Linked DNA regions of Danio rerio. The protein of the gene in region 2 binds, or shares a complex with, the protein of the main gene of each other region. Links are inferred from orthologs where the notes say so. Each region holds a gene or a part of one and is shown on either strand. Other genes may lie near its edges.

Region 1 (4,256 bases), on a different chromosome or scaffold from region 2:
TTTAAAAAACATTAAAATATAGAAAGAAACAGCAAAAATAGAAAGAAAAAATACACTTTACACTAGAAAAAAATAAAATAAAAAGTAAGAAAAACTGTGCCATGATTGTATATGCTTAGGAAATGTGTCCCACCTCATAAAACTGGCAGACAGGCTGATTTGGGTTACTCTGATGCTGCGCTCGAATATACGATGCTGTCAGACTGTGACATTTTCCATCTACTTCTTTTCCAAAACGCAGAGAGCTCACCTGTAGTCACACATTCAGTACTTTTTAATAAGATCACAGCACAGATTTTACTGAAATCACAGACAAATCTGCCCATTCAGCGGCCTCTACCTCAGGATGAATGCACAGGTTTTTCCTCGAGGAAAGTGCAAGGGCGAGGAAGTCGTTTTTTACTCCCGTTTGCTTTGAGTAATAATCCATCAGTTTCCTTAGCTCCTCCACAACCTGCAGGTAAATGAAAGATGCATAAAATAAAAATTAACATACGACATGTGTATTTAGAAAGCAAAAAAAAATGTATAAAAGGTAATAAACATCTATATCAAGTCAGTCAACAAAATACCTTCTCTATCTCAGGCACCGTGCGAGAGCAGTACACGAGCTTGGTGACTTCTAAAGGGTAAGTCTGTAAGAGATTAAACATTATATATATATATATATATATATATATATATATATATATATATATATATATATATATATATATATATATATATATATATATAATTATATATATAAATCAGGGATATTTTTAAAGCCATCAGACTGTCATTTAATAAAGTATTCAAATATTTAATCGTCGATCAAAATCCGTCACCTTCTGGTAAGCAACGATGAGCGAAAGAAGAGAAATAGTTTTTCCTGTTCCTGAGGGCATCTCCAGAACTCCATGACCCTTTACACACATAATAAAAACAAAATATGAAACAACTATACATAAGACAAACAATTTTTTTTTGTTTTTTATTGCTTTTTACTTTCACTCAGTCATGGCTCTGTTTAACATAAACATCCCATCCAACATCTCAGATAATGCGAGATTACAAAAAATGCATTCATAATCAGACTAAAAATGATGTGGTGAACTTTATTATTCCCACCAGGGGCAATTAAATTAGGGCAGTAGCATCATGATAACCTATAAATCCACACATTTGGTCTTTCTCCCTAATAATATACATTTCAGAAAAATATTCTTTGCAAATTCATATTTATAGGGAAACCATAATAGCATCCAATGACTTTTAAAGTACAACACTGTTCACTGTACAAAAAAGATTGTTTTGAAGTCATACTTACATAGGATTTTAGACCAAATATTCAAAGTACCATGGTAAAAAATAAAGGGAGGATGTCACGGAACGATTATGCGAATATAAAACCAACTTTACCTCAATAAAAATATTAGAGTAAAGCTGGTTTTATATTCACACATTCAGTCTTTCTCTCTAAAAATATTTTCAGAAAATTTTTCGGTCCCACTTTATATTAAGTGGCCTTTACTAACATGAACTTACACTGAAATTGAATCATTCGTTACACTTTACTTAATGAGTAAATATATGATTTTACATTGTACTTATGCTTGATTAAATATCTGCATGTAATTACATCTGTAATTAAATTCTGTAAGTACATTTATAATTACACTTTTTACCTGAACCAACTCTTAAACCAGCAAACCTTAAGACCACATTTCACTATACAAAAAAAGATTGCTAATGTTGTTTTGAAGTCATACTTACCTAGGATTGCAGACCAAATATTCAAAGTACCATGGTAAACAAAAAGGGAGCATGTCACTGAACAAATGTGTGAGTATAAAACCAACTTTATCTCAATTAAAACAGTAAAGTTGGTTTTATACCCACACATTCAGTCTTTTTCCCTAATATCATATTTTTAGAAAAATATTTTAGCAAACTCTAAATAGGGAAATCTTATTACCATGACTATCAAAGTACAACATTGTTCACTGCCTAAAAACATATAGCTAATGTTGTTTTGAAGTCATACTTTAATAGGATTTCACTCTGAATATTCAAATTACCATGGTAAACAATAAAGGGAGCATGTCACTGAACGAATGTGCTAATATAAAACCAACTTTACCTCAATTGTAAAAATAACGCTGTAAGAAGGAACAAAAAATACACTTTAAATTAGTTGTGTATCAACTATAGATGCATCTTTTGGCCTATGTCAAAACATCCAGCCACAATGTTAATATAGATCACTTCAATGTGGTGATATCTTTGGCCCATGAACATTTTCTGCTTGTTTCAAACTATTTCATAACTGTAACATGAGACAATTAAATCATAATTTAATGTTAAAACCGCTATCATGACATTATTTTACAATATATGGCTCTTTTTAAAATCTCAGAAAGTATGGACATTACAAATGGAAAACATGAAATACATTGAGACCATTGTTTTGGTTTACATCCCTGAAAATGGTCTATGTTGTTACATGATACAACATTAGTTTAATGTATGAGTGTCTGTGTATAAATACCTTTGCATCCAGCGTCCTCTTCAGCTCAAGCATATACGAGTATTGTTCGGGATAGATGTAGTCATACGGAAAGTAGACTAATAACCCGTCGATATTCAGCCTAATAGGATCAAATAGACATTAACGTTAGAGGAAAAACAAAACTTGTGTTAAATGAACAGCGGTTTGGGCCATTACCAGTCTGCAGATTTGCAGCAATGCTAACGTTAACAGTTAAAATTTACCGTTTACTTACTTCATGTTTGCTGGTATTGTTTCTCTGCAGCACTTAAGTGTTTCTCGTATTCAGTTTTGTATGTTTCCACACATTAATATAACTGTCATGAACGCATTACACAAAAAGACTTCTATCGAGGTACACAAGCGATCTCGGTAGCGTAAAACGCTGTCGCAGTGAAAGTGCGTAATCTATTTTGCTTAATTGATTGGTTGTTCGCTTCAAAGCCCGCCTTATCCTGTCAGCTCATTGGATGACACGCACGTCATGTCAATCCCTTGACGGAAGTACATTTGTCACCATTGGGGTTAATCAAAAAATATATATATAGAAAAGAAGTCCGCACTAAACTTTCGCTAAAATTGTGTAGGTTGTAATTTTCTTCACTACAAATATGACTGATTTTTTAAAACAAACAACAGTATTTTTTTCATGAAAAGTAAAATTTGATCAATTAAAAATATAGCCTATCACAGATTACACTAAATTATACTGTATTTTAAATAAACAAAGAAAAAAGAATGAAAAAAGCTAAGAAAAACGAAAAGCAGGTACAATTAGAGTGCATTGTAAACAAACAAGAAAAAAATAAAAACAAACAGAAAAGAGAAAAGCAAGTAGAGTACACTTAACTTACATTCATTCATTTTCCTTCAGCTTAGTCCCTTTATTCATCAGAGGTTGCTAAAGCGGAATGAATTAAAGATCTGAACTTCCCATCACTACTGTGTGTCTAACCTTAGAGGCAGCCATGCACACGATTTTACTTAAGGCTATCTTGTGGGCTGTTGTATTTGAATTTGAAGATGAGTAGGTGGTAGTGGTAGATGATAGTGGTCATGTGTCCTGTGAAAACATGTTTCAAAAAATTATTGTTGAGTTTTTATTTTACAATATTTATTGTATTTTGTACAATATTTATTGATTTTGAATCTTGTACATAGCAAATATCCCAATGTGCAAAAATAAATAAATAAATAAACAAAACTAAGCAACTATAAAATATGGAAACTAATAAAAACTAGTAAATCTACCTCTAAAAACTAATTAAAACTGATTTTGAAAACAAAAAGTCAAAACAAAATAAAAACTAAAACCAATAAAAAATCCAAAACTATAATAACCTTGCTGTGGAGGAAACCCACGCGAACAAGAGAAGAACATGCAAATTCCACACAGAAATGCCAACTGACCCAGCTGTGCTTCGAACCAGCGACCTTCTTGCTGTGAGGCGACAATGCTAACCACTGAGCCACTACTACTAAGCCCCCCTTCTAAAATGACATTTTTTAATACATATGAGGGGAAAAAAGAGAAAGAACCAAAGAAATGAGAACATTTTTCATTATTAATACAGGGGCATATTTTATATAATATATTTTATTTACATAAACATTTTTAAATCATATATTACAATGCAATAAAATATACAGTATTTCACCCTAACAAAGATTCATCTTCATGAAGTGATTTCCTTCGTACTCATAGGCCGGGTAAAGACCACAGTTT
Region 2 (2,538 bases):
AACATCTCTTCGGCTAGCACATTTCAGAGCAGCTTCAGTAAAAACTAAAGTAAACCAGCAACACTAGCTATGTTTCCTTCCAAAAATGTGAATTAACTTTATTCGCACACCTTTTATGCGATATTCTAGTTTTGTGCATAAAGCAAAGTTTCCATCCAACAAGTCAAACAAATCAAAATTGTCACTTCCTAATTAACTGGCGTCAAATATCAAAAGTAAAAGGAACTTAATTTCCTGAGGTATGAGAAGCTGTGTGAATCTTTTACTTAATTAAATAAATGACTTGTGCCTCAGAAGATGATGCTGACACGCAGTTAACGCACAGCACAGACACTCTTAGCAGTTCTGGAGGTAATATAATAACACTAATACTGAATTGGTTAGGGTGTTTCAGACTGACCAAAATAACATTTCATGTTTTACAGTGTGCTAAGCCTGCTGGTTTGTCGACTCACACACATCTTTTATCATCACATAATCAAAATCAATGACTTTTTTTAATGCGCATACTAAAATTTGTTTAGTGAAAGTCTTTATACGCATTTTTTCTTATCGAATAAAAAGTTATTTTTATTTAACTCTTTAACTTCTTATCTTGGCGTTTTTTATTTTTGGCGTTTTTTACGTTTTTTATTTTATGTGCATGTTGGATATGCGTATAAATAAAAAAAAAAAGTGGATGGAAACATAGTTACTGACACATTTATTTCACAGTCAGCACTGTAAAGCTGCTTCCGTTTAACCAATAACTTTTGTAAGGGACTAAATAAATGTGAGCTGATTGGAGGGTCAGAGTTACATTGCTATGACTATATTTACACATCCAATTGCTACTCCCAGCAATGTTGGAAATGTTTTGCTGAGTATATTGCTGAATGGAAAAAGCAAAGAATGAAATACTTAGCTTCAATTATATCAAGTCTTTAACAGTATGTCACTGTGTATTAGACCTACTTAATGTAGCAACACATTACACCAACTTTTTCCTTTCAAATTTTCAAAAGCACTGCCAGAGTTACTGACCATTTTAACTCTTGATTATTTCAATATTGTAAATAAAATCCTTTTCTCTCTCCCCTTTAGTGATGTGCTGCTGACAGAGGATGCGGTGCGCAGGTATCTCATCAGAAAGCCCATGACCACTAAAGACCTGCTGAAGAAGTTCCAGACTAAACGCACAGGCCTCAGCAGCGAGCAGACGGTCAATGTGCTCGCGCAGATCTTAAAGAGGCTCAATCCAGAGAGGAAGAACATCAATGACAAGATGCACTTCTACCTCACTGAGTGAAACTCTGAGCATCCATCACCAGCAGCCTCGCCTTCAGGAATGCAGCTCATTTTGGTGAACACCTTCTTTGTTTTGCTGTCATTTTGCTTTTAACAGTCCAGTGTTTATTTACAGTAGTCATTAAACTGCTGCTCATTGAGTTAAAGCTGAGAATACCGGAGGTCAAGAGTAAAATGACAAAGAAACGTTGCAAAGAAAGATAGCACAGTGAGTTTTTGTATATTGTAGATATGGGAAATGTGTGTTTGTAAATTTCACATTTATGCATCTTAATGAGAAGCTGGTTAATGTTTTTCCAAGAAAGAAATTAAATAAGGACTCAGAAAATGTGAAGATGTGGCTTTTATTACACACTCATTTGTTCTCATAGATTTTTTTTTTAACTGGCTTAACATTGTGCTGATTTTAAAAAAAAAAACTGTAAAAGGTACCACATTTTGCTGGCGCTTGCCCTTCGTAGTATGTTAAATCTGTTCTGAAATAAATACCTATTTGTTTTTATTTGAAATTTGATGCTCTCTATGCAATAATGATTTATTATTTGAGAGGAAAGTTAATAATGGATACAAAAATTGACATTGTACATAGAAGCAGTTGACTGGTCTCATCTTTTTTCATACTCCATTTATATGATAAATTACATGAATCTGATCTATTCCCTTCATAAATTCTCCAGAGGCTTTAGTTCCCCCCAAATAGTCTCTTTTTTGTGGTTATTCAAGGAAAAATACATCAGACTGAAAATTGAATCAACAGAGGTCTATTTGGTTTTCAAGACAGGTGCTATGATCAGTCCAGCCTCAGTTGTTTTACATGGGCAGGTTTCGGCATATCACAGAGATGCGGCGATGACGTGGAACCTTCTGTCCAGAGAAAAAGGACTCTTCATCTTTTAAGATTTCATGGGTGAATTTAAATCGTGCATCATCCCTGTTGATTTAAAGTAGTAGTGTTTTAGAGGTAAAATTACTTCATATTCTATGATAACAGAAATTTTATTTAGTTCTCTTATAACTTGAGAAATTTTGGGGGGTGGGGATAATAAATATGTAAATATTTACCGTAATATATAAAGTGAGCGCCGACTTAGAAGCAAATCCACCCGATCTGTGGTATTGTTTTCCGGGACCAGTCGCATTATACTATCGGACAACAAGCTCAGCCCTGCAATGGTGCTTCCACAGAACTGACAGGACAAATGACATGGAATGATGAACATGTAGGTATGAAGAACACCAGTGGTACACAAA
Region 3 (4,538 bases), on a different chromosome or scaffold from region 2:
GGGGAAACCGGAGCACCAGGAGGAAACACACGGAGAACATGCAACACATGCAGAAACGCCAACTGACCCACCTGAGGCTCGAACCAGCTACTTTCTTGCTGTGAGGCGATAGCACTGCCTACTGCGCCACAGCATCGTCTTCACTGTAAAATATAATAATTAGAATATTTGCTTCAAATACATTTATTTAAAAAATTCTATACTTAGATAAAAGGAAATTATATATCCATTAAATAATATCCATTAAATAGTTGTTAAACAGTAAGTTGCATCATTTGGATCTTTGAAAGGCCATTGAAAGAGCAAAGATAATATATCTTGTTTTATTTTTATTTATTTTTTTACATATTTGCGGATATTGCAATGAAAACTGGAAATGTCATTTTAAAAATACTATCTTGTTACCTAAATTACTTCATAGAGGTAATTTGTTCAGTGCAAAATTTCTGATATTTGTTAAGTTGAGGGAGTTTGATAAGTTTCTTTGAGCTATTAGCATGTACAGCGTGTGGCTCAATTTCATTTACATGCAAATATTATGCTAGAAATTCAGTCCTGTTACTTTCAGTCCTGTTACTTATAAGAGTTACAGGAATGAGTAACAATAATGAAAAGCATCTTCTGATACTTAATAGAATGAACAGTTTTTATTATATTATTCATCTGATTTCCACACGTTATGGATGGAAATGTTGAAGTTGTAAGATATTTAAAGGAATAGTTTTCTCAGAAATGACAGTTCCACTACATGACACACACACACACACACACACACACACACACACTCTCTCTCTCTCTTTTCACTTACTGATTTGGTTTTCTTGTGAAAACTTTTTTTCCCTACAATTTACTCAGTTAAGTTCTGTACATCATATACTTAAATGTTAAGTAAATTATGTTATAAAAAACATGAATTTCAGGCCACAGTTTTCTTGAAAAAAGGGAAAGTGCCTTTGCATTCCTATAAAAATACATTTTTTTATGTAAATCGTGATTTTTTAAATACAAAAATCAAATGTTTGAAAGTGTAACAAACCATATTTTAAAAAGAAAATCACTTTCTTAAGAGGAAAACAAAGTAATTACCTGATAGACTTTTATTCATGCTTTTTAAAAGACTCGTTAGTTTGGGTAATATGACTGAAAAATGCATTCATCTGCCACATAATACCTTGTAAAAACTCAAATTAAGTCATTTTATGTGGACCAATACATATTTTGAAAAGTTAAGTATGTGTGTTATTAGATTCCGCCTTGAAAAGTAATTAAAAGAAGTTTAATTGTAAAGAGTTACAATAAGCAAAATGCATCCATTCGGTGGAATGGTCAATAATTACTCCCATGCTAATCACCATACTCAACTTTTACAAGCGATGGTCAAAATTAGATATATAATCCAACCATTTTGACCCAAAGTGTATTAAAAGACTCATAATAAAGGTACCTCTTAACTCTGTCGTTGTGTTGAAAATACTACGACCAGACTACGACACAATACTGCCCCCGGTCGTTATTCACTCAATATTACCCTTTTTCCCATGTCTTCCCATGTCATGCGCATGCGCAGTACAACGTGCGTCCATTAGTAGCATCGTTCGCTGCTGGTTTTGAAGCAGGATGAACGCGCCACCAGCATTCGAGTCTTTTTTGCTGTTTGAGGGAGAAAAGAAGTAAGTGCACTATAAAGCTGTCTTTGCTATTCAATTATACTAACATATTATACTAGCCTATAATAAGAGTAAATATTCAGTTGGAAGACAGGAGGGAGATTCAAAAGGCTTTAGCTTGTTGGCTAACGACAGGTTACGTTAGTCAGTCCATCTGAAAACAAAATACAACCTACTTCTGTTTACAGAGTGCTTTATACAATACAGCTTAAATCATATCGACGATTGATTCATTCACTATTTAAGTTTATTGTTCATTATTTTTGTATAAACGAATACAATTTCAGATGCTAAGCTGTTTGAATAAGACATGTAATACCAACATTTAGCTCAATTAAGTTTAAGTTGGTTAAGTGACCTTGTGAATCTAAATAAAAGTATTCGTTTTTAGACGTACTTTAGGTCATGATACCATGACATTTTTTGAATACCATGTAAATACCATAGTACATGTACAGTAATTGGTCTCAGCATCAAATTAAATAACAGAGGTAATACGTAACGTTAACATATAAAATTTATGCAAATAAGGTGTGCTTTAATGTTTTAAATAACTTTTAACTATAAAAATAAGATTGTCAAAAATATTAGTAAAATAACCTTCCATATAAATATGAATATATTTTTTAAAAAGTAAACCTTTATTGTAATCTACATTGATTAAAATATGCAGTAGTAAGTGCTTAAACTAAATTGTTTTGCCTTGTAAATGCCTCTTTCTGACAGATATGCTTGACAAATTTAAGTAAAATTGGTTTTGTATTCGCACATTTGGACTTTCTCCTTAATATAATTTCAGAAAAGTTTTATTTGCAAATTCTGAATAGAGAAATCATTAGCAGCCAATGACTATCAAAGTACAACATTGTTCAGTCAGGTAAATAGTACTTATGTTTTTGAGAAGTCATATTTGCAGGCTATTTTAGACTGAATATTCAAAGCAGTGTGATAAACAATATATGCACAGTGTTACAAGGTTTCACTGTTCAAAAATTACCAAATGTCTGAATATAAAACCAACTTTACCTCAATGCTTGACAATACTTTTTGGCATAAAAAAATATTTTTGCACTGAATGACATTTAAGTGAGCATCTTCTCTTAATAAGGGTTAAAATTATAGTAGGATAAAAAGATGATAAATATGATGATAAAGCTTATTATATTTTGTATATTTACCTAGAAAAACATTTTTCATCTCTGATCTACTTAACAAAGTGACATATTACTGCCAACATTGTACCATGATACCACAGGGTCTGCGGGGTCTTAAGAACTATTAAAAGTTGATTAATCAATGTAGAGAAATGTAAGGCCCTTAAAAAGTATTTTAAAATCCTAAATGCTATTTTGCAAGGTGTTAAATTTTATATAATTTTGATTGTGCAATGTAGGTATGGTTGTATGCTAAAGTTTGCCTGAATTAAATCTAAATGTCAGGATGCTGTGTAGTTTATGAAATCAATGAAATCCTGCTAGATTTGACATCATGCAGTTTTGTTTACTGCAGTTATCAAGGAAAAACCATTATTTCTGCAGTTCTATAGGCACCAACCTGCTGAATTAGCTATATTTAATAGATTTTAATTCAATATAATTATGTATATCAATATGTAAGTTTTTTACATTAATATTTAATAAATATACTGTAAGTTAAAATCTCTTTATTGTTTCCGATTGAAATCTTAAGTGATAATAAGGTCTTAAGGTCTTGTATGGAGAGAGTCTTAAAGGTATTGAAATTCACTCTCTGGTTCCTGTATATACTCTGTACCAAAACATTACTATTTTTAAAAGTAAGGGATTGCCTAAAATTTCTGTTCAACTTCTTTTTACAGGATCACAATAACCAAAGACACCAAGGTGCCGAATGCATGTCTGTTTACTCTAAATAAAGAGGATCACACACTGGGAAACATCATCCGATCGTAAGAGACCAAACTTTTGATACACTAAAACATTTTCAGATATTTATGTGGGTTTTGTAATCATCCTATATTTACATTAGAGCAATTCCATGCAAATGTCAACCTTGTCATGAAAAAGATTAGGTTTTAACTCTGTGGTTAGTTGTTTTGGAAAATATAAACAGATGTTTCAGTATAATGTTAACACATACTTTCTCTGTGAATGTGTTTTGAGATCTTACTGCAAATGTCACATTTGTAACATTGGAATTGCTCATTAGGCAGTTGCTGAAGGACCCCCAGGTGCTGTTTGCTGGATATAAGGTTCCTCATCCTCTGGAGCATAAGGTTGTGATCCGCGTTCAGACGACACCAGACTACAGTCCTCAGGAAGCCTTCACTAATGCCATCACGGATCTGATCAGTGAGCTGTCCCTGCTGGAGGAGCGATTTAGGGTATGTTCATGTGTTTGCATTGAGTAAAAAATGATTCCAGAACAAGCGCTCCTGAAAAAAATGCACTCTATAGCAGCACTGCAAAAGACAATTGAGGTAAAGTTGGTTTTGTATTCACACATTCAGACGTTCTACTTAATATTATAATTTCAGAAAAGTATTATTTGCAAATTCTAAATAGGGAAATCATATCAGCGTCCAATGGCTTTCAAAATGCAACATTGTTCATGATCAGTTAAATGGTGCTAATGTTGTTTTAAAGGGCACCTATGGTAACAAATCTACTTTTCAAGCTGTTTGGAAAGACGTGTGTAAGTAAAGTGTATACACCGTCATATTGGGGTGATATAAACACACCCAGTGTTTTTTTTTTTTTTTTTTCTTCAATTTAACAACATAAAAACGACAGACCAATTGGAGCAGTTTTTAGAGCGACCGCAACTTGATGTAAAAGTGTGGTCCCCCCGCCCACCAATATTGATTGACAGGCATGCGTAACCTAATCCTCA

Evidence for each region. Proteins that work in one complex are often made in the same cells at the same time.
Region 1: gtf2f1 (region 2) and ercc2 share a complex: the UniProt entries of both Homo sapiens proteins name them as parts of the TBP-based Pol II pre-initiation complex. The link is inferred for Danio rerio from reciprocal best matches to the Homo sapiens genes GTF2F1 and ERCC2.
Region 3: gtf2f1 (region 2) and polr2j share a complex: the UniProt entries of both Homo sapiens proteins name them as parts of the TBP-based Pol II pre-initiation complex. The link is inferred for Danio rerio from reciprocal best matches to the Homo sapiens genes GTF2F1 and POLR2J.

Annotation. Positions count from the first base shown.
Region 1 is NC_133190.1:26,156,204-26,160,459, forward strand, and holds the start of ercc2 (general transcription and DNA repair factor IIH helicase subunit XPD), read right to left. Parts: upstream 2,958-4,256; 5' UTR 2,771-2,957; coding exon 2,766-2,770; intron 2,631-2,765; coding exon 2,531-2,630; intron 906-2,530; coding exon 828-905; intron 636-827; coding exon 573-635; intron 455-572; coding exon 341-454; intron 251-340; coding exon 134-250; intron 1-133. UniProt on the Homo sapiens protein: ATP-dependent 5'-3' DNA helicase. Component of the general transcription and DNA repair factor IIH (TFIIH) core complex, not absolutely essential for minimal transcription in vitro.
Region 2 is NC_133178.1:32,749,163-32,751,700, reverse strand, and holds the end of gtf2f1 (general transcription factor IIF subunit 1), read left to right. Parts: intron 1-1,083; coding exon 1,084-1,288; 3' UTR 1,289-1,796; downstream 1,797-2,538. Other genes in the region: alkbh7 (alpha-ketoglutarate-dependent dioxygenase alkB homolog 7, mitochondrial), read right to left, coding at 2,098-2,218, 2,350-2,474. UniProt on the Homo sapiens protein: TFIIF is a general transcription initiation factor that binds to RNA polymerase II and helps to recruit it to the initiation complex in collaboration with TFIIB. It promotes transcription elongation.
Region 3 is NC_133180.1:67,353,635-67,358,172, forward strand, and holds the start of polr2j (DNA-directed RNA polymerase II subunit RPB11-a), read left to right. Parts: upstream 1-1,581; 5' UTR 1,582-1,617; coding exon 1,618-1,670; intron 1,671-3,504; coding exon 3,505-3,594; intron 3,595-3,854; coding exon 3,855-4,029; exon of another isoform or gene 4,030-4,538. UniProt on the Homo sapiens protein: Core component of RNA polymerase II (Pol II), a DNA-dependent RNA polymerase which synthesizes mRNA precursors and many functional non-coding RNAs using the four ribonucleoside triphosphates as substrates.